3 linked regions of the Oryctolagus cuniculus genome follow. The protein of the gene in region 1 purifies or fractionates together with the protein of each later gene. This does not show direct contact. Links are inferred from orthologs where the notes say so. Each region holds a gene or a part of one and is shown in the gene's direction. Other genes may lie near its edges.

Region 1 (4,076 bases):
GACGATCGGGTCAGGGTCGCTGGCCTGTCCCTCAGCCTGCGCACCTGGTGTTTCTCTGGGCTGGGGACTGCTCGGAAGTACCCCGCGAGTGTCCCCCTCAGTGCTGCACTGTGCTGTGTGATATCGGAGCCGCGCCTCCTGTCCCGGGCCTGTACCACTAACCGGCTTGCTTGTGACTGTGTGTGTGTGTCTTCTCGTGTGGCTCTTAACCTGGGAAGCCCCCCGGGAACACACGCCATCCTCCCCCAACACCCCACGCTCTCCCCGGAGAGGCAGAGGCCCCTCAGCTCCTGCCTGCCTGCTGTGAGTAACTTGTGTTTCTTTTTTGTTTTGTTTTGTTTTGTTTCTCCTTTTTCTCTCTTCTCTTCTTGTCTCTCTCTCTCTCCCTCTCTCCTGAACTTTCCAGGTAAAAGCACACCTGTAAGCCAGCTCGGCTCTGCAGACTTCCCCGAGGCCCCCGATCCGTTCCAGCCACTCGGGGCTGACGGCGGCGACCCGTTCCAAAATAAGCAGGGCTTTGGGGACCCGTTTAGTGGAAAAGACCCGTTTGTCCCCTCCTCTGCAGCTAAGGCTCCCAAGGCCTCCTCCTCGGGCTTTGCAGACTTCAGTTCTGTAAGTTGAGCCCCCACCTCCGTGCCACCCCTCCTGCCCTCCGCTTGCAGCTTCTTGGGGGTCGTGTTTGTTTGTTTTTTGTTTTTTTTTTTTTTTTTGGTCCCTCTCCGACGGCAACCCCCCTTCACCCCTAGCCGCACTCCTCCCCCGGCTCATTCGCGTCTTCTCCGTTCCTCATGCGAGCTGTCACTCGTGTTATTTATTCTGTACCTGCCACTTGTGTAAGGAAAGGTTTTGCAATAAAAAAAAAAAAGAAAAGAAAAAAGCCGCAGTGTGGGCGTATGGCAAAGGGCAGTGTTTTCTCGCGGCTGCACGCGTGCGAGGGGCCGGTGCGTGCTCCGATCCCGCCCGGAGGCCAGGATGTCCAGCACTGCCGAAGGATGCAACCAAGTCGGCCGCACCGCTGGCTGCCCTGCGCCCCGCCCCCACCGGCCCGGGGAAGGACCGCTGGATTTGTGCACAGCGACGAAACCCTCCTTGATTGCAATGACCAGCAACAGTGGCGAAAGATATCTAATCTAGAACAAGTGCTCGGAACGCCTTCCTCTTCTGCCGAAAGCAAACAAGCAACAACAAGCCGGGAAGAGCCGCGTAGCGAGAGGAGCGCCTTTGCAGAAGTTGCGCCCAAGTCTGGCTTTGTCGTCCGCGTGGGGGGCGGGACGGGGACTTGCAGCTGGACAAGGCCACCCTCTTCCGCACGCCCGGTTCTCCTGCTCTGAGAGCCGCCGCTGCTGGCCTCCCGGGCTCGCTGTGCCAGGTGTGCGTGTCCCCCCACCCTGTTTTCAAATGTATTTGAAGGAGTGATGGAGAGAGAGCTTGCACCGCTGGGTTAGTCCCCCAATGCCCACAACAACCAGGGCTGGGCCAGGATGAAGCCAGGAGCTCCAGCCGGGTCCCCCCACGTGGCTGGCTGGGCCCCAGCCACTTGGGCTGTCACCTGCTGCCTCCCGGGCTGTGCATCGGCCAGGAGCTGGATGGGATTCACTGAGTAGCCAGGGCTTGAAGCTGACACTCCCATATGGTGCGCAGGGGTACCAGGTGGCCCCTTAATCCTGACTCCATCATTTCTTTCTTTTTTAAAGATTTTTTAAAATTTATTTGAAAGGCAGAGGGGGTGGGAAGGGAGACAGAGAAATCTTCCACTGGGTCACACCCCAAATGGCCGCAATGACCGGGGCTGGGCCAGGCTGAAGCCAGAAGCTTCATCCGGGTCTCCCACGTGGTGCAGGGGCCCAAGCACTTGGGCCATTTCCCACTGCTTTCCCAGGCCACAGCAGGGAGCTGGATCTGGGATGTGGGCACTGGCAGTGGGCGGCTTTACCCGCTGGCCCCCAATGCACGTTTAGACGTGAGCTGTCTTCTTTGCAGAGCCTCCAACTCCTAGGATATCCGTGGTGACACTGCGTGTCAGCGCACACACCCTGATCCAGCCCTGGGCTTGGGGGACCTGTGACCTTGTCGCCACTGCACTTAGTTGGGTGCACGGCTGTGTCGTAAGAGCCAGGAACAAAACCCGCTTTAGCCAGTGAACCTCTTGGATGGGCACTGGGTTTCTTTCCTGGTGGGAAACTTAAACACCAACGAGAAGAGCAGAGCTGTCAGGCGTGGCCAGGGTCGCGTGTCTGGGTCGGCGGGAGCCGGGCGAGTGGAATCAGCTTGGAGAAATGACTGTTAGCTTCCTGGCACGCGAAGCTGCTTCCTGTGATCTTACCTTGAAAGGACTTGGTTTTTTTTTGAACCCCCCCAAAAAAATTTCTTTTTCGAAACACCCCAGGTTTCAAGCGAGCAGTTTTGGGCTAACGTTTCTGGTTGTTTGTTTTGTTTTCCATGAACACGGAATGATTCACAGCGGCTCGTGTGGCAGCCTCACACATGCGTGCACGCTTGCCTCTGCCTCCGTAGCTTTTCCTTTTCCTTACGCTTGGGGCCCGTTCTCCACCACGTCTGCAATGGGGAAGTTGATTTCCTGGAAGCCACGGGGTGGCTGTGAGCTGTGGTCACCCCCGCAGGGCTGCAGCTAAGCTGTCCTGCATCTCCCCCCTCCCTGCTATCTTCAAGGGGCGGGGCGGGGGTGGGGCAGTGGATCACAAACACTTGCACTAAGTCAGAAAAGGCCCGAGCCCCCTGCCCCGTGGACCGGCATCTGATCTGATGTGCTGAGCGGGGAGGGGGCGGTGCAAGGGGCCTGGTCGGAGATGCTGGCATCTGCAATCCCTGGGTTCTTTGTGCTGGTCGCTTTCCGTGGCGTGTCTCCAGTTGCTGTCTCGGACGACTGTGTCTGTTAGGAAGTAGCGTCTGTAGGGTCTCTGCCCCTACCCCACCCCACCCCCGGGCGCCCACAGTAAGGGCAGCGCGTCGGCTGAGCTGTGCCAGCGGCATGGGCAGGAAGGATGCGGTTCAGGCCGGGTGGGCCAGTGAGCGAGGCGTGCCGTGCCCACCAGGTCTGCTCCCACTGTGAGCTAAGGCTGCTGGGCTGCCATTGAGGACCCCCGGCGACCGTGGACTTGTAAGAGGCCGTGGAAACAGAGCCACTGTCCTGAGTGCCCCCCCACAGCGTGGGAAGGGCAGCGTGTCCCCGTCGCCGCTGCTGTCTCAGCCCCTCCATGGTGCAAGAGGGAAGCGGAATCCAGCGCTGGCGCCAGACTGCCTTGCCGGGTACCGCCCCACTGGGGAGCCCAGCGGAAGGCGGTCACCCAGGGCTGGGAAAGGCCCTGGTCCTCGATGGAGAGACGGCCCAAGCTTGTCCCTGCTGCCACGCCGACCCAGCCTACCTACTGCAAGTCTCCGCACGGGATTCCCGCGCCGGCCTCGAACCCAGGACTCTGAAGGCGCCTGGGTCTTCCCCGCCAGCACGTTCAGCTGGAAGTAGAGGCCGGGGCCGCTGGGGCCACCGGGACTTGGGTCCAGCGAGCCGAGGCCACTCCGGGCTTTGCTTTGAAGCAGGTTCAGGCAGCCTCCGTGGGCTGTGGGCTGGCAGAGGGCAAGTCCCCGCGGGCCCGGCTGTCGCCTCACCACCGCGTCAGCCACACCTGGCACAGCCCGCCATCTGTCACCCCTCACCCCCCACCAGCCACCAAGCTGGTCACCCTTCCCCCCCCACCATGGAGTGCTCCCCAAAGGGAAGTCTTGTCTTCCCCCACGGGGGCCCCCAAGCCCCTTGCAGAGGTCTGGACGGGAAGACCCCACCCCACCCCGTGGCCCCAAGGTTGGGCACCGGGCCCAGGCCCTGGGCGCAGCTTGTGTATAAGGGCCTCCCCCACCCCACCCCAGTGTCCCCAGCTGAATGAGGGACGCCATGCTCTGTGTCTGAGACGGGTGCTGTGTGCACCCTTCCCTACCTTGTTAGCGCGTCTGTCCTGGGAGCCGCCCATGGGTCCTCTAGGCCTTTAGCGGAGAGCCAGCCAGAGGTGTCCCTGGGCTCAGGGCCACCATCCCGCCCCTGGACGGGGTGGATGGGTGGGGCT
Region 2 (4,682 bases), on another chromosome or scaffold:
AGCCCCACCATAAACCCTATCTCCTTTGGATCTGCAATCAGGAATCTACACCAGGCCACTCCTCGTATCCTATACAAAAGACAACTCCCAGCATGGAGAGCAGAATTCTTCCTCTTGAGGTAGCCTACAGTCACACCTGAGTGTGTACCATCCCTTTGCTTTTTTTTTTTTTTTTTTTTTTTTGACAGGCAGGTTACACAGTGAGAGAGACAGAGAGAGAAAGGTCTTCCTTTTCTGTTGGTTCACCCCCCAATGGCCGCTGTGGCTGGCGTGCTGCGCCAATCCGAAGCCAGGAGCCAGGTGCCTCTCCTGGTCTCCTATGGGGTGCAGGGCCCAAGGACCTGGGCCATCCTCCACTGCACTCCCAGGCCACAGCAGAGAGCTGGCCTGGAAGAGGGGCAACCGGGACAGAATCCGGCGCCCCGACCGGGACTAGAACCTGCTGTGCCGGCGCCGCAAGGCGGAGGATTAGCCTAGTGAGCTGCGGTGCTGGCTCACAGTTGTATTCTTACACACGGGAAGACAAGAAGCTGGACTAAGTCTAGCGAGGGGATCTCTTTGAGCCCAGTGGGGACTCTAGATCCCCAAACATAATTTGGGGTTCCTAAACCCACAACAGTTTTACAGATGGGGACAGACTGGCTGGCTCAGCAAGTAAGAGAACTCTTAGGCTGATACCAAGAAGTCAGGGCTGTGTGTCAGTGAAGCTCAGGACATGTCTGTCAGGTCTTCGTCAGGGCCTGATTGAAGAGTCAGGAACCAGGGTGAGAGCGGGAAAAGCCTGTTTATAATAACTGACGTTTGCTAAATTCCTCACCTGAGCTGGCTGGCTGGTTCAGGAAGGGCTGGACTTTGCAGCATCCCTCTCAAGTCAACACTGCCCTTTTCATCTGCCCCGACAGATGAAGGCAAGAAAGCCATAGGACCAGTCGATCTGCCCAGATTTCCCCCGTGCCAACAGTCATCGGGGATTTGAGTTTTCTACCTAGATCAGCATCCAACCTGCTTCTTAAAGCTAACAGAACACCTTGGCTCTTAGATGCCGATTTTGTTTTGTTCATTAGGAACCACTGATCCCTACCTTACCCCAACCACACAGAGGCCTTTCCTTTCCTACTCCCCTGAAGGAGTGCTGAGTCAAGAGCAAGCCCTTGTCCATAGTGGTGACTTGAGTTGAAATCTGTACTCTCCTAAACAGACCAGGAGCTGGAGGGGAAGACACAGAAGAAATTCAAGTTTGAGCTTCACCAGTTGGTTGGCTCTGGGATGGGCCTGAATGCTTAGCTCTGAGGGCAGGGGCCATGCAGGGGAGGTGGTCTTCTTACTGTTGGGTCAAAGTGGACGGTAGGTTGCTGTGTGTGTGAACAGGGGTGGCAGGTGCTCCTTAGTAGCCATATCTATGTGTTAGGGATAAGGGTGAGGAATGGTGAACGAATGACCCTTGGGTATGGTTAAGGCCGGGACAGCGCCTGAGAAAGGTCCATGAGGCCTGTAGCAGATCCATGAGCAAGGGTAGAAACACCCTCCTTCCCACCCGCGCTCTCCAAACCCCAGGAAATTCTTGCTCCCCCACCCCATCAGCGAGGAGAAGATTCTAGAGCCAGCCTCGTGTGGGGCGCAAAAGAGAAGTGCTAGATGCGGGCGCCGCTTGGTGCTTTCCAAAAGCACCACCCCACTTCGGCATGTCACCTCTGGGAGGAGTCAGGTGGGTCGTCGCAGCTCCAAGACTGCCTGCCGGGTCCGGAGCGTCGGCCTCCCCGAGGGCCGAGAGGAGCGCTTCGGAGTAAGCCCATGGGGTCCGGGGTCCCGGGGATCCCGGGGTGAGCGGCCGCGCCCGGGCAGCTTCGGGCTCCCGAGGGTGGGAGTAGGTGCCCGGCGGGCGGGCCGTCAGCTGCCCGGCCCGTCGCCTGCCTCCCCGCCCCCCGGCTTCCTGCGGAGGCCGCGGCCGCCATGTTGTTGTGGGGCTGAGGCGGCGCCGGCAGAGGCGAGAGCCCTTGACAGGCTGCGCAACAGGTTCGCCGGCGGCCGCCTGACGACCGACGCGGCGGCGGCGGCGGCGGCGGCCGAGCAGGGTCTCCCGCACCCGTCCGCGCGCGCGCGCTGCGGGTGCCGAGGAGCGCGGGGTCGCGCCGTGACGTGCGGGAGGCGCGGCGCCAGGTGGGTGAGAGCCGCTCGGCTCGCCGGGGCTGCCGCAGGGCGCGGGGCAGGTGCGGGTGCTGCTGCCGCGCCGCGCCCGCCGCCCAGAGGCTCTGAGGGCCGGGCTGAGGCAGCTGTGCGCCCCGGACGACGGGGACGGGTCCTCGGGAGCCCCTGCGGCCCCCGGGCTAGGCCCCTGGCGGGCTTGGCCGCGCCGGGCGGAAACCTCCGGCCCCGGGTTCCTGCCCCCGCGGCGGGGCCGGGGCGGACGCGGCGGGGCCGGGGACCTGGCCGGCTCTTCCCTGCTGCGGAGCGTGGGCCCCTGACCGCGGCCTCGTCTGGCAGGTGGCGGGGGCGGCGTGGCCCCCTGGCTTCGGGAGTGCGGGCCGAAGAGAGCCCTGGGCGCACCGCACGCTTCTTCGGGGCCCCATTTTATTTGGGCGGAGTTGGTTTTTTCCCTCTTGGTCATGGCTGGTGCGGAATGTCAGGTGAGCCGCATCCCGGTGCGTCAAAGTGGCCCCAGTCGCGAGAGGACTGTGGGCGGATCTGGGCGTCCACGGCTCGCGTTAAGCCAAAGTTGGGAAATGCTGAAATGCGACTTAGGCGTTGTTGAATTCCAGGTATACAGCAGGCACGGCGAGGTAGCGTCTCTGAGACCAGAGTAAAGTTTATTGCTTATTAAAAAAAAAAAAAAAAAGGGCTACATGTGCAGATTGGGTAAACTGAGGCTAAAACTGCAGCTCTATTTGGATTTTTTAGTCATGCACTTTGTCGCTGAATGATTGCCGATGGCAAGTATGCTCCATTTGAAACTTGTGTTAGTAGAGAATTAGGAATGTTTTTTGATAGAACCAGCCACTTTGCCGTAGGCATGAAGGCATTCCTACAGAAATGACTGCCTAGTTTATCTCGTCAGTGTTGTTGCTTACCTAGAGGCAGGCAAGATGTGACTTGAGATTTTGTGTTGTTGGTCAGCTTAATTTAGGCAGCACTGACTGTAGGTTAAGCTTCCTAAGCCTTTCAAGAAAATTAAATGCCTCCCTCCCTGTGCGGATTTGCAATATTGTTAATCAGTGATAAAGCTAAAAGCAACCCAGAAATGTCACATAGAAATCTTTTCGTGAATTAATGATAGTGCCCCTCAAAACTTACAAATAGTAGCAACTCTGACGTGCCCACATTTAAGTTTATTGGTTGTGGCTGTTATTCCCTTATAATTTCAAAAGTAAATAAATTGGAAATATGTTTGTGAAGGATCTTGGAAAATGTGTATTGTTGTGGTTTTGATACAACATTAATATGTAATCAAAAAGCTTTTTTAACCCTTTAATGGATTAATAATTGTTCTTTTTGCTTGCCTTTATAATAAGAAGTAGACTGGTCTGAGAAAACTTGACCTGTATTGAATTATTGAACGGGGAGGAACTGTTGTTAGTTTCACACATCTCAATGGGAAAATTCTGGTCTTTCCTGAAAATGAGGTAATGTGTTCACATTCTGGGAGTTAGATTTATAGTTTTTTTTTTTTAACTATATTTGCACAAAAACAGAATGGTATACACCCACCACCCAAACTCAGCAGCTTTCAAGATTTTCATTAGCCATCTTTTTTTTTCTGATTTTATTTTTTTAAAGATTTATTTATTTATTTGAAAGGCAGAGTTACAGAGAGGCAGAGACAGAGATAGAAATAGAGAGAGGTCTTCGATCTGCTGGTTCACTCCCCAGTTGGCTGCAACAGCTGGAGCTGCGCTGATCCGAAGCCAGGAGCCAGAGCATCTTCTGGGTTTCCCATGTGGGTGCAGGGGCCCAAGAACTTGGACCATCCTCTACTGCTTTCCCAGGCCATAGCAGAGAGCTGGATCGGAAGTGGAGCAGCTGGGACTGGAACTGGCACTCACATGGGATGCCAGCACTGCAGGCCACGGCTTTACCTGCTTTGCCATGTGCCGGCCCCATCTTTCCTGATTTTATATCTTAGTCATTTTATCCTATACAGTTAGTATAGCTTTTTTTTTTTAAAGGTTTATTTATTTATTTGGAAAGTAGAGTTATAGAGAGAGAGGGAGACACAGAGTGAGAGATCTTCCATCCTCTGGTTCATTCCTCAGATGACTGCAACAGTCAAGGTTGGGCCAGGCCAAAGCCAGGAGTTTCATCCAGATCTCCTATGTGGGTGGCAGGGGCCCAGATACTGGGTCATATTCTGCTGCTTTTCCTAGGCCATTAGCAGGGCACTGGATGGGAAGTAGGGCAGCTGGGACATGAACCAGTGCCCATATGGGATGCTGGTGTCCCCGGTGGCAACTTAACCCGCTATGCCACAATGCCAGCCCCAGTATCTTTCTTTTTTTTTTTTTTTTTTTTGACAGGCAGAGTGGACAGTGAGAGAGAGAGAGAGAGAGACAGAGAGAAAGGTCTTCCTCTACTGTTGGTTCACCCTCCAATGGCCGCCGTGGCCGGCGCGCTGTGGCCGGCGCACCGCGCTGATCCAATGGCAGGAGCCAGGTACTTTACCTGGTCTCCCATGGGGTGCAGGACCCAAG
Region 3 (4,645 bases), on another chromosome or scaffold:
CTGCAGTGCCGGCATCCCATAAGGGCGCTGGTTCGAGTCCCGGCTGCTCCTCTTCCGATCTAGCTCTCTGCTATGTTCTGGGAAAGCAGTAGAAGATGGCCCAGGTCCTTGGGCCCGTGCATCTACGTGGGAGACCTGGAGGAGGCTCCTGGATCCTGGCTTCGGATCGGCGCAGCTCCAGCCGTAGCGGCCAATTGGGGAGTGAACCAGCAGATGGAAGACCTCTCCCCCCCTCCCGCCTCTGTAACTCTTTCAAATAAATAAAATAAATCCTTAAAAAAAATTATTTGAACGATTCAGTCCCCAAATCCCCACAACAGCCAGGACTGGGTCTGGCCAAAACCTGGAGCTACAGGGGAGTGGCAGGAACTGAACTATTTGAGTCGTCACCTACTGCTTCCCAGCAGGAAAGTGGATTGGCGGCAGAACCAGGATTGGGACCCAAGAACTCCAATGTGGGATGTGGGCATCCTAAGCAGCAGCTTACCTGTACACTCACCCCATGGTTTTACAAAACTCAGATTCAAATATAACACACACCAAGAAGTGCCCACATTGCAAGGGCACAGCCTCATGGGAATTCACGGAGAACAGCACCGAGATAAAGATAAAGAAACACAGCGACACCAACCTGTCAGGGCCACCGGTCCCTCTCCCACTCGCTCATCCGGCCCCACCCACCTGCAGGTTCGTTTTGCCTGTTTTTGCACTTTACATAATGGAATCGTGGAGTTCGTGCTCCAGCTCATGGCTGTTTCGTCCCTCGCTGTGTGTCCACCTGCGTCGCTGTGTGTAGGGCGGACAGTTTGTCCCTGTTGCTCACTGGATCGCTGGTCACACGACTCACTCCTCTCTACACACTTGCACCTTGCCCCAGGACGTATTCACTGATCCAACCTCACACAGTCTGACTCTCAAATTCAGGCTCACCTTTTTTAATTTTTTTTTTAATACTGAACTCATGCGCTCCATGTGGGATGCGAGTATCTTTTTTTTTTTTATCTTTTTTTTTTTTTTAATTTTTGACAGGCAGAGTGGACAGTGAGAGAGAGAGACAGAGAGAGAAAGGTCTTCCTTTTGCCGTTGGTTCACCCTCCAATGGCCGCCGCTGCCGCCGGCGCACCGTGCTGATCCGAAGGCAGGAGCCAGGATCCAGGTGCTTTTCCTGGTCTCCCATGGGGTGCAGGGCCCAAGCACCTGGGCCATCCTCCACTGCACTCTCTGGCCATAGCAGAGAGCTGGCCTGGAAGAGGGGCAACCGGGACAGAATCCGGCGCCCCAACCGGGACTAGAACCCGGTGTGCCGGCCCCGCAAGGTGGAGGATTAGCCTATTGAGCCACGGCGCCGGCTCGCGAGTATCTTTTTTGAACGTGTTTTAAGCCAAGCCCATTTCTAGCAACCCAGTATAGTTTCTTATTTAAAAACTACTATTCCCAGGATGCAGTTCTCCCCGCGGGGTCGGGATTGAGTAGGAGAGGCTGCCAGAACTACATTTCCCAGAATGCAACGGCCGCCGGCTCTCATGCATGTCGGGAATTGTAGTCCTCTAGCGAGACTTTCCTCCCACAATTCCCAACGTGCACTTGGGCCCTGAATCGTTTGTAGGAAAAGGACAATCGCGCAGCCTGCCGGGAAGCCGACCGGACACTTTCCCCCAGCTTGCCGCGCGGGAGAGCCGTCCCATTCGTGGGACTTCAAGTCCCAGAGGGCTGTGCGTGGGAGGGCAGTGCGCGGGAGGGCAGGCGGGTCCTCCTGCCGGAAGTCCGCTCTGGCGCTAGGCCCCCCGACTGCAGCCGGAGCCGGAGCCGGAGCCGCCCAGTCGCCGCGGGACCTGGGCCGCTGGGGTCCAGTCAGGGGTCGCCATGGTAACGGGGGCGCGCCCGCGGTGGGGACGGGCGGAGCGGGGTGCAGGTGTCAACAGCCGGGGCTCGTCCTGGTGCTGACAGTCCCTCTCGTGCCGCGGACGGTCTGGGTCGGGCGCGGGCTCTCGGGATTGGGGCCAAGAAGGCGGCCAAGGGGGCCTTGAATCTGCGCTCGTGGATGCTCCGAGGTCTCGAGCCGAGGGGACAGGGGGCCGGGATGCCAGCGGGGGCGGGGGGAGCTGTGCGGTGGGAGGCATTGGAGGGGGTTGGGGGCTTCCGAAACGGAAGCAACTCGTGAAGGTAGTAGGTGGGGAGGGGGCGAAGGAGGAGGACGGGAGGCCTGGGGCCGCGGGCCGGAGGGCCCTCCGATGGGGCGGTCGCCAGGGGCGAGGAGCTAGCCTGGCAGTGTGTGGCGGGGGGGTATCGGCAGCGGGACGAGATCCTGCGGGTGAGGGAGAGCAGGCTGAGCGCTGCAGACCGGAAGTCTGGAGGTTTTAGGGTCGGGGCGGAGGGCTCGGAGTGGGGGCCGATACTCCAAATGAATGGGGAGCGAGAGGGAGAGAGAGCGCGCGCGCGCGCGAGCGCTTGGGGGCTGGGAGGGAGGCTTGGAAGTGTGAGATTTGGGGAGGGGGCTCTTGGGGGCAAGGACTGAGCTTTGGATTTGGGGGCGCCCTTCTCCCAGGGTGGGGCTTTGGAACCAAGCAGGGCTGCTTTGGTCGGAGACTCAGCAAAGGGCACGAATGGGGGAGGGCGTAAGAACAGAGATAGTGACCCTTGGAACAAAGGGCGGCGCTCCTGGAGTTGCTGTGATGCCCCCGGACCCCCAGGCCAGAGAGAGCGGAGATCAAAGGGGAGCAGCTGGGGGGGGGGGTCTGGGGGCCTGGGGATTTGGAAGGTGGTGGCCGAGCTGTCCGGCAACCCTGCAGGCCGGTCTGGCTCCCCGCTGGCTGCCTGGCTTGGGTCTTTCCCACCCCCTTCCCTTCCTGCCCAGGACCCCCTGCCCTGCTGGGAAGTGGTTTTCCCTGGCTCAGCAGATGGAGTTCTTGGAAGGCCAGTGTCACTTCCTCTTCCTGTCGGGCTTGGGGGAGGGGGCAAGGAGGTTTGGGAAAGAAAGTGGACTCCCTGTGGAGTTTGGGCGGGGGCTTTGGACTCCTGAGCCTTGGAGTCCTTAGGCTTCCCTGTTCTCCCAGCCAGCGCGGACCCAGAGCCAGGCTTCCCAGCGGGGGGAGCTAAGGCCATGGCTTTCCCAACGTCGCATCGTAATTATAAAGCTATGGAGAGCTGGCACACACCTGGTGCTGTGCCTGGGGGAGGCAGCCGTCTGGCCTGGCAGCTAAGGTGCTCACGACCTGGGTTCAACGCCTGGCTCCGCTCCCGGCCCCAGCTGCCTGCTGGTGCGCACCTGGGAGGCAGCAGTGACTGGGCCCCTGGATGGAGGCCCCAGCTCCCGGCTTTGGGCTGGCCTGGTCTCAGACGTGGTGGGCGTCTGCAGTTTGCCAGCGGATGGGCGATGGGGGCTCCCTCGCTCACGCTCTTCCCTTCTTCTTAACTTAAAAAAAGGAAAAAAAGAAAAGGCTTATGGGAAAATGGACTTAAAAGAGAAGTTAATGTTGTTGTTGCCAAAAAAAAATGATTGGAAATCCTATAGTTTTTTCCAACATACACATTCTTGGTGAACTTTCTGAAGACCCCTTATATGCACGGATTTCAATTTTTTTGTGCCAAAATAAACGTATCTTTTTTTTTTTTTTTTTTTTTTTTTGACAGGCAGAGTGGACAGTGAGAGAGACACAGAGAGAAAGGTCTTCCTTTGCCGTTGGTTCACCCTCCAATGGCCGCCGCGGCCGGCGCGCTGCGGCCGGCGCACCGCGCTGATCCGATGGCAGGAGCCAGGAGCCAGGTGCTTCTCCTGGTCTCCCATGGGGTGCAGGGCCCAAGCACCTGGGCCATCCTCCACTGCACTCCCTGGCCACAGCAGAGCTGGCCTGGAAGAGGGGCAACCGGGACAGAATCCTGCGCCCCAACCGGGACTAGAACCCGGTGTGCCGGCGCCGCTAGGCGGAGGATTAGCCTAGTGAGCCGCGGCGCCGGCAATAAACGTATCTTAAAAAAAAAATTCAGAGTCAGAGCAAGAGAGCAGATGGACAGACAGACACAGGGCTGCCATGCACCAGTCACTCCCCAAATGGCTGCAACAGCCAGGGCTGGGCTGGGCCAAGGCCTCCCACGTTGGTGGCAGGGGCCATTACTGGCTGCCTCCCAGGAAGCAGTGAGAACCCGCCCCCAGGCATTGCAGGATAGGATACGGGGTCCCAAGGCCACACACCCCAGAGCTTAGCTTTTGATTCGATTCCACATGGAGCTTTTGAAGTACCCCCGTGTCACACCCCTGCCTTCTCTCTGACCTGGCATGTGAGCCCATGGGGGCCGCCCTCTCATTACCTGCGTGAGATTGGGAAGCCAAGGCCCACATAGCCGGTCACTGGCCGTGCCAGGATTCTGGCCCCAGAGTTTGTGCCGTTCGCCAGCTGGTGGCAGGCCTCGTGGGTGGCGAGGGCACTCTGGGGTCGACCTGGCTGCCCAGAGCCCTAGGAATGGACTTCCCAGCTGCGACTGCTGCCAGCCCCGGTACATGCCGGGCTCCGTGCTGGCCGCTGACGTAGACAAGGGGATTTCACAAAGGGCGTGGGAAGTGGATCTAAAAGATAAGTTTTTGTTGATACAAAACACATTTTTTTTTTAATTTTTTTATAGGCAGAGTGAACAGTGAGAGAGAGAGACA

Evidence for each region. The genes of interacting proteins can lie anywhere in the genome.
Region 2: the proteins of EPS15L1 (region 1) and ITSN2 purify together in Homo sapiens (affinity purification with mass spectrometry; 5 studies listed by BioGRID and IntAct, with this or other methods). This does not show direct contact. The link is inferred for Oryctolagus cuniculus from reciprocal best matches to the Homo sapiens genes EPS15L1 and ITSN2.
Region 3: the proteins of EPS15L1 (region 1) and AP2S1 purify together in Homo sapiens (affinity purification with mass spectrometry; 4 studies listed by BioGRID and IntAct, counting the BioPlex papers as one, with this or other methods). This does not show direct contact. The link is inferred for Oryctolagus cuniculus from reciprocal best matches to the Homo sapiens genes EPS15L1 and AP2S1.

What each region holds. Positions count from the first base shown.
Region 1 is NC_091447.1:64,794,001-64,798,076, reverse strand, and holds part of EPS15L1 (epidermal growth factor receptor substrate 15-like 1), read left to right. Parts: intron 1-406; coding exon 407-612; exon of another isoform or gene 613-883; intron 884-4,076.
Region 2 is NC_091433.1:178,232,688-178,237,369, forward strand, and holds the start of ITSN2 (intersectin-2), read left to right. Parts: upstream 1-1,589; 5' UTR 1,590-1,705; exon of another isoform or gene 1,706-2,777; intron 2,778-4,682.
Region 3 is NC_091449.1:10,581,077-10,585,721, forward strand, and holds the start of AP2S1 (AP-2 complex subunit sigma), read left to right. Parts: upstream 1-1,552; 5' UTR 1,553-1,863; coding exon 1,864-1,866; intron 1,867-1,999; exon of another isoform or gene 2,000-2,051; intron 2,052-4,645. UniProt on the Homo sapiens protein: Component of the adaptor protein complex 2 (AP-2). Adaptor protein complexes function in protein transport via transport vesicles in different membrane traffic pathways.